2 linked regions of the Canis lupus familiaris genome follow. The protein of the gene in region 2 purifies or fractionates together with the protein of the main gene of each other region. This does not show direct contact. Links are inferred from orthologs where the notes say so. Each region holds a gene or a part of one and is shown on either strand. Other genes may lie near its edges.

What was found. The genes of interacting proteins can lie anywhere in the genome.
Region 1: the proteins of EP300 (region 2) and MTA2 purify together in Homo sapiens (affinity purification with mass spectrometry, with the first as the bait; 3 studies listed by BioGRID). This does not show direct contact. The link is inferred for Canis lupus familiaris from reciprocal best matches to the Homo sapiens genes EP300 and MTA2.

The regions. Positions count from the first base shown.
Region 1 is NC_049239.1:54,555,937-54,559,958, reverse strand, and holds the start of MTA2 (metastasis-associated protein MTA2), read right to left. Parts: upstream 2,801-4,022; 5' UTR 2,650-2,800; coding exon 2,622-2,649; intron 2,333-2,621; exon of another isoform or gene 2,260-2,332; coding exon of another isoform or gene 2,250-2,259; intron 1,934-2,249; coding exon 1,866-1,933; intron 1,491-1,865; exon of another isoform or gene 1,423-1,490; coding exon 1,329-1,422; exon of another isoform or gene 1-1,328. Other genes in the region: EML3 (echinoderm microtubule-associated protein-like 3), read right to left, coding at 3,306-3,883, 3,982-4,002. UniProt on the Homo sapiens protein: May function as a transcriptional coregulator. Acts as a component of the histone deacetylase NuRD complex which participates in the remodeling of chromatin.
Region 2 is NC_049231.1:25,111,950-25,115,906, forward strand, and holds the start of EP300 (histone acetyltransferase p300), read right to left. Parts: upstream 2,801-3,957; 5' UTR 2,236-2,800; coding exon 2,142-2,235; intron 1-2,141. UniProt on the Homo sapiens protein: Functions as a histone acetyltransferase and regulates transcription via chromatin remodeling. Acetylates all four core histones in nucleosomes. Histone acetylation gives an epigenetic tag for transcriptional activation.

The DNA.
Region 1 (4,022 bases), on a different chromosome or scaffold from region 2:
ATGCATCCCAAACCCAGGTGCCAATGCTTAAATGCCACTCATAAAGCACAAATCTGCCCACTTCAGGCCCAGCAAGAATATCACACTCCTCTCTCTTGCTAAACCAGCCCGAGTTCCAGAAACCCAATAAGGTGAAAAATCATCACACGAGGTTGTGTTTACTAGTTCTTTTCAGATTTCAGGAGTCTCTTTGCTCTTATACATCTCGCAGTCCTAACTATTCTTCACTGTCCACTTGACTAATGATTGTTTGTGGGGCTTCCAAGGACAGTACCTCTCAAGCCAGCGCCAGTGCCTTCCTCCCCAGGCACTGCAACTTTGCCCTGAAACCTTGGTGGAAAGGGTTAACTTGGCTGAGGGCCAACCAAAGCGGGAGGGGGCAGGAGAGCCACAGGCCCAGGCTCATTGGTGCATTGTTCCCAACCTCAGGGAGAAGGGGGGGGTGGGGTGCAGCAGGCTCCACCCCTCGCCTGTGTGCTCCGGAAACCCAGTGCTAAGGCAAGGGGGGGACCACACCCCCCCCACCCCTTCTGATTGGACAAGGCCAAGGTCAGCCCCTGCCAGATGGGGCTGGAAACCCCAGAGGGCCAGAGAACTTGGTAGGCCTAGCTCCTCGTTAACCCCTTCATGGCCACAGCTGCCTGAAATAAGGAAGATAATTTCAGAAGGAGGAACAAGAGGAAGAGGAAAGAAAGCCAAAGCAGGAAAGGAAAAAGAAACTAAGGAAAACATAAAGAAATAGTTTTTTTAAAGGAAGATGAAAGCATAAAGAGAAGGAAGATAACACAAAAGGAAAAGATGTAAAATGGAGTGGAGCAAAACAGAAGAGGTGAGAAAGAGGAAAAAGGGCAAGAAAAGTTTCCTAGTTTCCCATTCTCTTCCTTCAATGTATTCTCATTACTTCGTGATCGCAAAATTAGGCTGCTTCCTTGTTATGCAGGCTTCCAAGTACACGCTCTTCCTCTTCAACCTTGACCTTTACAGTCACTACCCATTGTCCCAAGGTACCCAAAACTGACCCCCAAGGGTCCTGCTTCTCTAAAGCTCTTCTTCATCCCCTACTTAAATACTATCATCTCTTTTACACCCATCATTCAGATACACACACACAAGCCATTTTCTGGCTTTCCTTATCATGGTCTCTCCACCCTGCTTCCAACCCCAACGTGTAAAAACAGGCCTCCCTCCGCAAACCAGGCATTTCTCACCCCCAAACTCACACCCCTGCTTTGGGCATGCTACCAGGGGAAACACCTGCAGGGACATGCCCAGGCCTCAGATCATGGGGAGGGGGAGCGTGGAGGGGGGGGGGGTGCAAAGACACTCACTGGCATTGCTATCAGCCAGACTATTGAGGCTACTAGAAATGTCCCTTCGCCGGAAAAGACACACAACCTTTGCCTCCACATTTCCATTTGCAGTCTAAGAGGATAAAAAAAAAAAAAAAAACAGCAGTTAAAGTTGGTCATTTTAAAGTGGAAACACAAAAAGAAGAGACTAACAACAGTGCATAAGTCTCTAAGGGGTATAAATAGAAAGACCCAAAAGATTATGAATAAAACTTGGCGTTTAAGGACAGACTTCCAAACTTTTTATCCTCCAGATTTTCCCTTTCCTTGGCCCAGGAGAGATAGAATAGAAGGTTCCCACCCAGCTCTCAAAAGCCTTTCCTGAATACACCGAATGAATGAATGAATGAATGAATGAATGAATATGAATGGGCGCTTAGGATAGGATTGGTTCCCCTCCACCCCGCCTCCGCCTTCCACCTGAAGTTAGTGACCTCAGAAGAAAAAGACCCTCCCGGAGGGGGGAGGGGGGGAGGCCAGACAGGACAGGGGTGGGACTCTCTCTGTTCCACTCACCTTGTTGAGCTCCTCAATCCGTCTAACCAGGTAAGGATTGCTGGAGGAGTTCTCAAAATAGACGTAATCTGTAGGAGGGGGTGGGGAAGCACCGGGAAGATCAGAGGGGGAGATGGGAAAGACAGCACCGGGGTGGGAGAGAGAGGAGGCCTGAGAGGACCAAGGGGATAAGGATCCAGGTAGAGAGGACGCTGAAATGTGGAAGTGGAGAGACCACGAGAAAACAAGGGGTTTCCCCACCACCACCCAAGTTCTAATCTCAAATCCTTCCCTCAAAAGTGAGCCTTAAGGAAGGAGCAAGAAGCAGGGGGTCCCCTGCCGTCCCTACAACTCCGCCAGGGAGATGCACCCGTCTCGGCCAAATGAGCAATCGCTGACCCTCACCTTTTAGCATCCAGGCGCACAATAACGCCCGGGAGGAGGACACCTCCCGGCGGCGGCCGCTCTGCCCCCTCCGCCCCCTGCCTGCCCTGTCAGCTCGAGCCGAACCACCCTCCCAGGCCCCGCCGCCCGACCCCGGGGGCCCCCGACGCGGCCAGGACGGCGCCGTCGCGGCCTCCCGCAGCCTCTCCGAAGGCCGCGGGGCCCCGCCGCGTCGCCGTCCCCGCAGCCTCGCTCCCCGAGCTCCCGGTTCCGGTTCCGGTCCGCGCTCGGGGCCACGCCGCCCCAGACGCGGCGACCCGCGCTGCCCGCCGCCGCGCCTCTCCGGCCCCGGCCCCGGCCCCGGCCCCTGCAGCCCCTGCGCCCGGTACTCACCCCCCACCCGGTACATGTTGGCCGCCATGGCCGTTCCCGCCGCCGCCTCCGGCCGCACAAAGGGGTCCGGGAGACTCGCGGTGGCAGGGCTCGGCGCGAGGCGAAGCCCCGAGCGCGGGGCTGGCGCTTCGCGGAAGTCTCGGTCGGTCCCGCGCAGCCGGCACCTCCGCCACCTCAGCCGTCTCGTTTCATCCCGGCCCGCGCCGTCGCCGCCGCCGCCGCCGCCGCCGCCGCCGCCGCCTCACGCCCGGGACGCCGAGGCCAGCGCCGGTCCGCTCGGCCTCTTCCGGAACGAGCTCGGCTCCCGCCGGACCGGAGCCAGGCTCCGGCGCCCCCACCTCCGCCCTCGCCGAGCCCCAGCAGACGTCGGACTCTGCCGGCCGCCGAGGAGGCTTGCCCTGCCCGCCTCGGGCTTCGCCTCCTTCCGGAACACCTTCGGCCGATCCGGAGAACAAGGCCCGGCGCTCGGCTCAGGTCGGAGAGACGGAGCCCAGAGATCGGCCGCTTCCGGAAGAGGTTCGGCTCCCTCCGGCCAACCGCGGCCGGGCGCTCGGCTATTTCCGTCGCGGCTCGGCCCCTCCTCCGAGGGCGGGAGAAGAGTTGGGCTTAACTCTATCCTCGCCGGAGCCCCCGTACCTCCGCCTGAGGCCACGAAAGACTCGCGCGCCTTCGCGCTTCGCCGGGTCATTTGCAAGCGGCTTTGCCTATCGTTTGCATGAGCGGCCTACGCTCCCCGACTCGGTCCAAACTCCTCTTTTTCTTCATCGCCACCCCCCAGGGCTCCGGAGGCACCCAGCCGCGCCCCACAAAAGGACTGAGAGGCGACTTTGCTTCTGGTTTATTGCCCCTCAGCAGGCGGCGGGAGTCGGGGCCCAGGCTGGGGCTGCCCGGCTCGGCCAGCGGGTCTCTACAGTGTGCGCGGGGGGTGCCACTCGCCCCCTCCAGGGAAACGCGCGACCAGGAATGTCTCGGAGTCCAGGAAAGGTGGGCCCCCGGCCCCGGGGGCTGCGGATGGGGCGGAGCCGGGCCGCGGGCCGGTGAGTGCCCTCCCGCAGCGGTCAGACGTCGAGAGAGGAGGCCGGGGACAGCGAGGGGGTTCGCGAGGGCGTGGCGGGCGCTGGCACCGCGCCCCCGGCGCCCAGCACTCGCCACTGGAAGATGCTGGCGTCCTTGCCGCCCAGCGAGATGAGGTGCGAGTCGTCGTGCGTGAACCGGACGCTGGTCACGTGGCTGCCGTGGCCGCCGTACACGAGGCTGGGCGCCTGGGCGGGAACCAAGACGGAGCTGCGGCGGCGCCGAGCCCGGGCCCGCCCGCCCGCCCGCCCGCCCGGCCGCAGCAGCCCAGCCCGCCAGGCCTCACCTTGGCGCGCGCGCACGGGTACTGGAACAGGTGCACTTTGC
Region 2 (3,957 bases):
GATCAGCTCTCATCACAAAATTTAGAGAAAGGTAACTAATACTAAGATAAACTTTTAGTATTAAAATTGAGCTCATCTCAATATTGAGGATATTTTACTCTAAAAACCCACTTGATACATTTAGGACTCTTATAATTATCCAAAGATATTTCAAGTAGCAAAATAGTTTTTGTGTTCTAGACAGGTGAGACATTACTAAAACGAGTTAAAGTTGCCAAGTACACAGATCAAATATGGAGAAGGCAGGAGAGCACCTGAAGAGAGGTGTCTGAACAGAGCCCAGTCTTGCTTTTAGGCCTTGCAGTACACTCCAAGAATAAGCTACTCAAATCAGGAGTATTCAAAATGAAACACATTAAAGAAGTTTTCTCTACAGCATCTCAAGTCTCCGGTGAACTAAAATGTAAAATCCATTACCACATTTCACAAAAATTAGAGAAACAACACAAAAACCTGCAGGCAGAAATATGTTTAAAGGTGATCTGAAAACCGCTCTGAGTACTTTAAGTGCAAAAGAATATGATACTCGATATGCATTAATAGTTCTGAGGAAGAAAGGCACGTAAGAGAAAAAAAAAATCTGTAAAGACCAAAGAAAGTTCAAGGAATAAGGATAGATCAAAGTTCTTGCACTGCCAATTTTACAATTCTGAAGTAGAAAGGCACAAAACTGCAAAAATCCTCAATCTTTGCAGGTTATCTTAAACTCATGACACATTTTTCTTAAAAAAGCAAAGCATCCAACGCATTTGCCATATCCTTACATTTTCACCCTCCGAAATGCAGCCTACTTAGAAACATGCTTTAGAAGTTCTCTACAAACTCAGAGGATACATTTAACTCCATTATACACTCTCACTGGCAGATGGAGAGATGACGTTGAGTTAAAGAGATGCTCCGTAGTAGAGGGGGAATATCTTGTGGACTGTCAGATGGCCAGCCATTCTTCCTCTTCATTATCCTGACACCTCAAACAACGACGACAGCAAAAGAGAAGGTCGGGGGCCATCAGGAGAGCACCAAACTAATTATAAGAAGGGGATGATGGAGGAAAGTCTCCCTGAATTTCCCTGGACAAAAAGGGCTGGTCCACAACTGAGTGAAGTTAAGAATGGTAGAGCTTTTTTACGCTGAACTATGGACCTCCAAATATGTTTAAAGCACAAAGAGAAAAACACACAAATACAGAACCTAATGCACATTTTAAACTTTTATACGGTTCAACTAATGTATGCAGTTCATGATTGGGACCCTAACCACTCCTAATTTTGATTTCCAAGTACATAACTCCACACCATCGGTTATCTACACACACACACACACGCACACCCCAAGAGAAAGTGACTACAAACTGCAAAGAAAATACCTCTGCTCTCTCTCAACCTAAAACCCGAGTTTCAGACATTTTGGTCTCACACCAAAGAAATGGGAGATGTAAAATGAACTGCGCTCCATATTGATTCTTAAGGCAAATAAAAAAAAAAAAACAAAAAAAACGGGAGGGGGGGGAAGCTAGGAATGGTAGGTAAAATAATTCGAACCAAATTTTGGCTTTGACGTTAAACCTAAGGTCAAACCTGAAGTCGTGGATCACACATACATACAAATAAAATCATGATTTTTTTTTTTTACATTTTCATGCTCAAAGGAAAATCTTGTGCAAAAAAAAAAAAAAAAGAAAACCTTGAAAAGGAAGAGTGGAAAGTAGAGAAAACAGAGTAAGTGCAATAGAGGAGAAAGGATTCGCAATTCCTCATTTCTCAACAACAAAAAAAAATTCAAAGTAAAATTGCATAAAAAGCCCTTACACACAAATGCACTGGCATTTCAAAAATTAAACTGCATGGGAGCAACAATAAAGGCTATTTCCATAGCACCACTCAAGAGCTCTAATTCCAGAACACATCGATATGACATAGTGTTGCAACGAATGTATTAGGAAGCAAAAGAAAATGGTTGGGCTACTGGACGTCTTCGACCAGCTCATTCAAACACCTTTAAAATTAATCAAGAAGCAGAAAACTAACAAGAGAGGAGGGGGGGAAAAAAAAAAGGGAAGAAAAAAAATGGAAGAAGAACGGTGCACCAAGCAAAAAAAAGATCAAGGGGGGATGTGGAAGGCCAGGGCTCCCGGGACTAACCTGTGCCGTCGCTGGCCGACGCCGAGAGGGCCGGAGATGAGAGTTTAGGCCGCTTGGCTGAAGGCGGCCCCGGTTCCACCACATTCTCGGCCATTTTTAATTCTTTCGGAGATACAGGCGAGGAAAACGAGAATCCTCGGGAAATCTCTTCTCCGGCCAGGGCTCCCCGCCCCGCTGCCTGGGGTGGGCTTGGGGGGCTCCGCCGGCCCCCGAGGGGGGTGGGGGAAGTTCCTTTTTCTCTTCGCTGGGTCGCGGTGGCCGAAGAGGGATGCGGACTCGATAGAAAAGGTAGGGGCAAGTGCGAGGGGCCGGGCCTGCGCCCAGGCCCGGAGGAGGGCACAGGAGCACAAACCCGCCGAGCGCGTCCGCTGCGGCGAATTCCCGAGAACTCGCGGCTCTAGAGGCGCAGTCCCCGGCCCGCCGCGGCCGGCCCCTGCCCAGCCGAGGTCTCTCGGAGCTCCGCCGCCGCCATCAGCCTCTTCCTCCTCGGCGCTGTCCTCCTCCTTCTCATCGCCACAAGGAGGCGGGGGCGAAAAGGGGGGAGAGGAGGAGGCGACGAGAGACACTCACCTCCTCCCGGTGCCCCCTCCCGGACCTGCGCCCCCACCCTCCGAGCCCTCCTCCTGCCGCCGCGCTCCGCGCCGCCGCCGCACCGGCCCCTAATGGCCGAAGAGAGCTCGCCCGAGCCGAGAGCCAGGCTGGCGCCGCCGCCTCACATCGCGCGGCGGGCGGCGGAGGCGCGGCGAGGACGCCGGGCGCGGAGCTCGCAGGTCCGGAGGGCCGAGGGGGCCGGGCCGAGCCGAGCAGCGCCGCCCGCCCGCCCGCCCGTCCGCGCCGACGCCAAGCCCACCGAGGAGGGCCCGCTCCGGCGGGCGGCGCAGGCGGCCTCTCCTCGCGCCGCGCTCGCCTCCTTCGTCCTCCTCTCCCGCCGCACGGAAATAACTACGGCCGCCGCTGCGGCCCCCACCCCCGGCGGCCAGGTGCCGGGAGCGCCCGCCCCCCGGGGCTCCGCTCGGGGCCGCCCTCGGCGGCGGGCGAAGGCGCCGCGGGGCGCGGGGTTATGTAATGGTCCCCCCTAGGCGTCGACGCCGGCCCGGCTGCCGGGCCGCGGTGGGGGTGTGTGCGGACGGGAGGGGGCTGGGGTCGCCTCAGCCCGTGCGCCCCGGGCCCCCTGCCACTGTCTCGGCCCCTGCCGCCTCTCTCCGGCCCGGCTCGCCTCCGCACTCCGGCTCCAGCAGTTCGCACTCAGCCCGGCGTCCCGCTTGCCCACTCTCGCCCGCTCCCTCTCGCCCTCTCTCCCCCCCAGCCTAGCACACAAACAAGATGGCGGCTGTTGTTTCTTCCCTCTGCCGAATCCTCCTTACAGGCTAGCGGTAGCAGCGGCGGCCGGAAATGAGCCAAGGGGGGGGTGAAAAAAAGGGGAGGGGTTGGGCCTCCGGAGGGAGGCGGCGAGGGGGCGGGGCCTGGGCCCGAGCCGCTCACACAATGGGGGAAGAGGACCCGGGGGCGGGGCCGGTTCCAATCACGGGATCCGCCCAAGGCCCCAACGCGGTTGGCGCTTCCGCAAACTCCCCCGGCGTCACCCGGTGGCTCCCTTTAAAGGGGAGGACTTGGCGAGGCGGGCGGGCTCGGGGGCAGGCTCGGGATCTATTTTCGGTCGGTGGACACTTGCGGGGGAAGGTCCCTGGGCTGGGTCTCTGCGTGGGGGACCGGTGGGAATCGGGGGTGACGGGGCCCGGAGCTGCGCTGGGGAAGGCGCCGGCTCACGGCGCAGGGGGCCGAAGGCGAGCGCCGTGGGGATGGCCCCGCGTCCCGG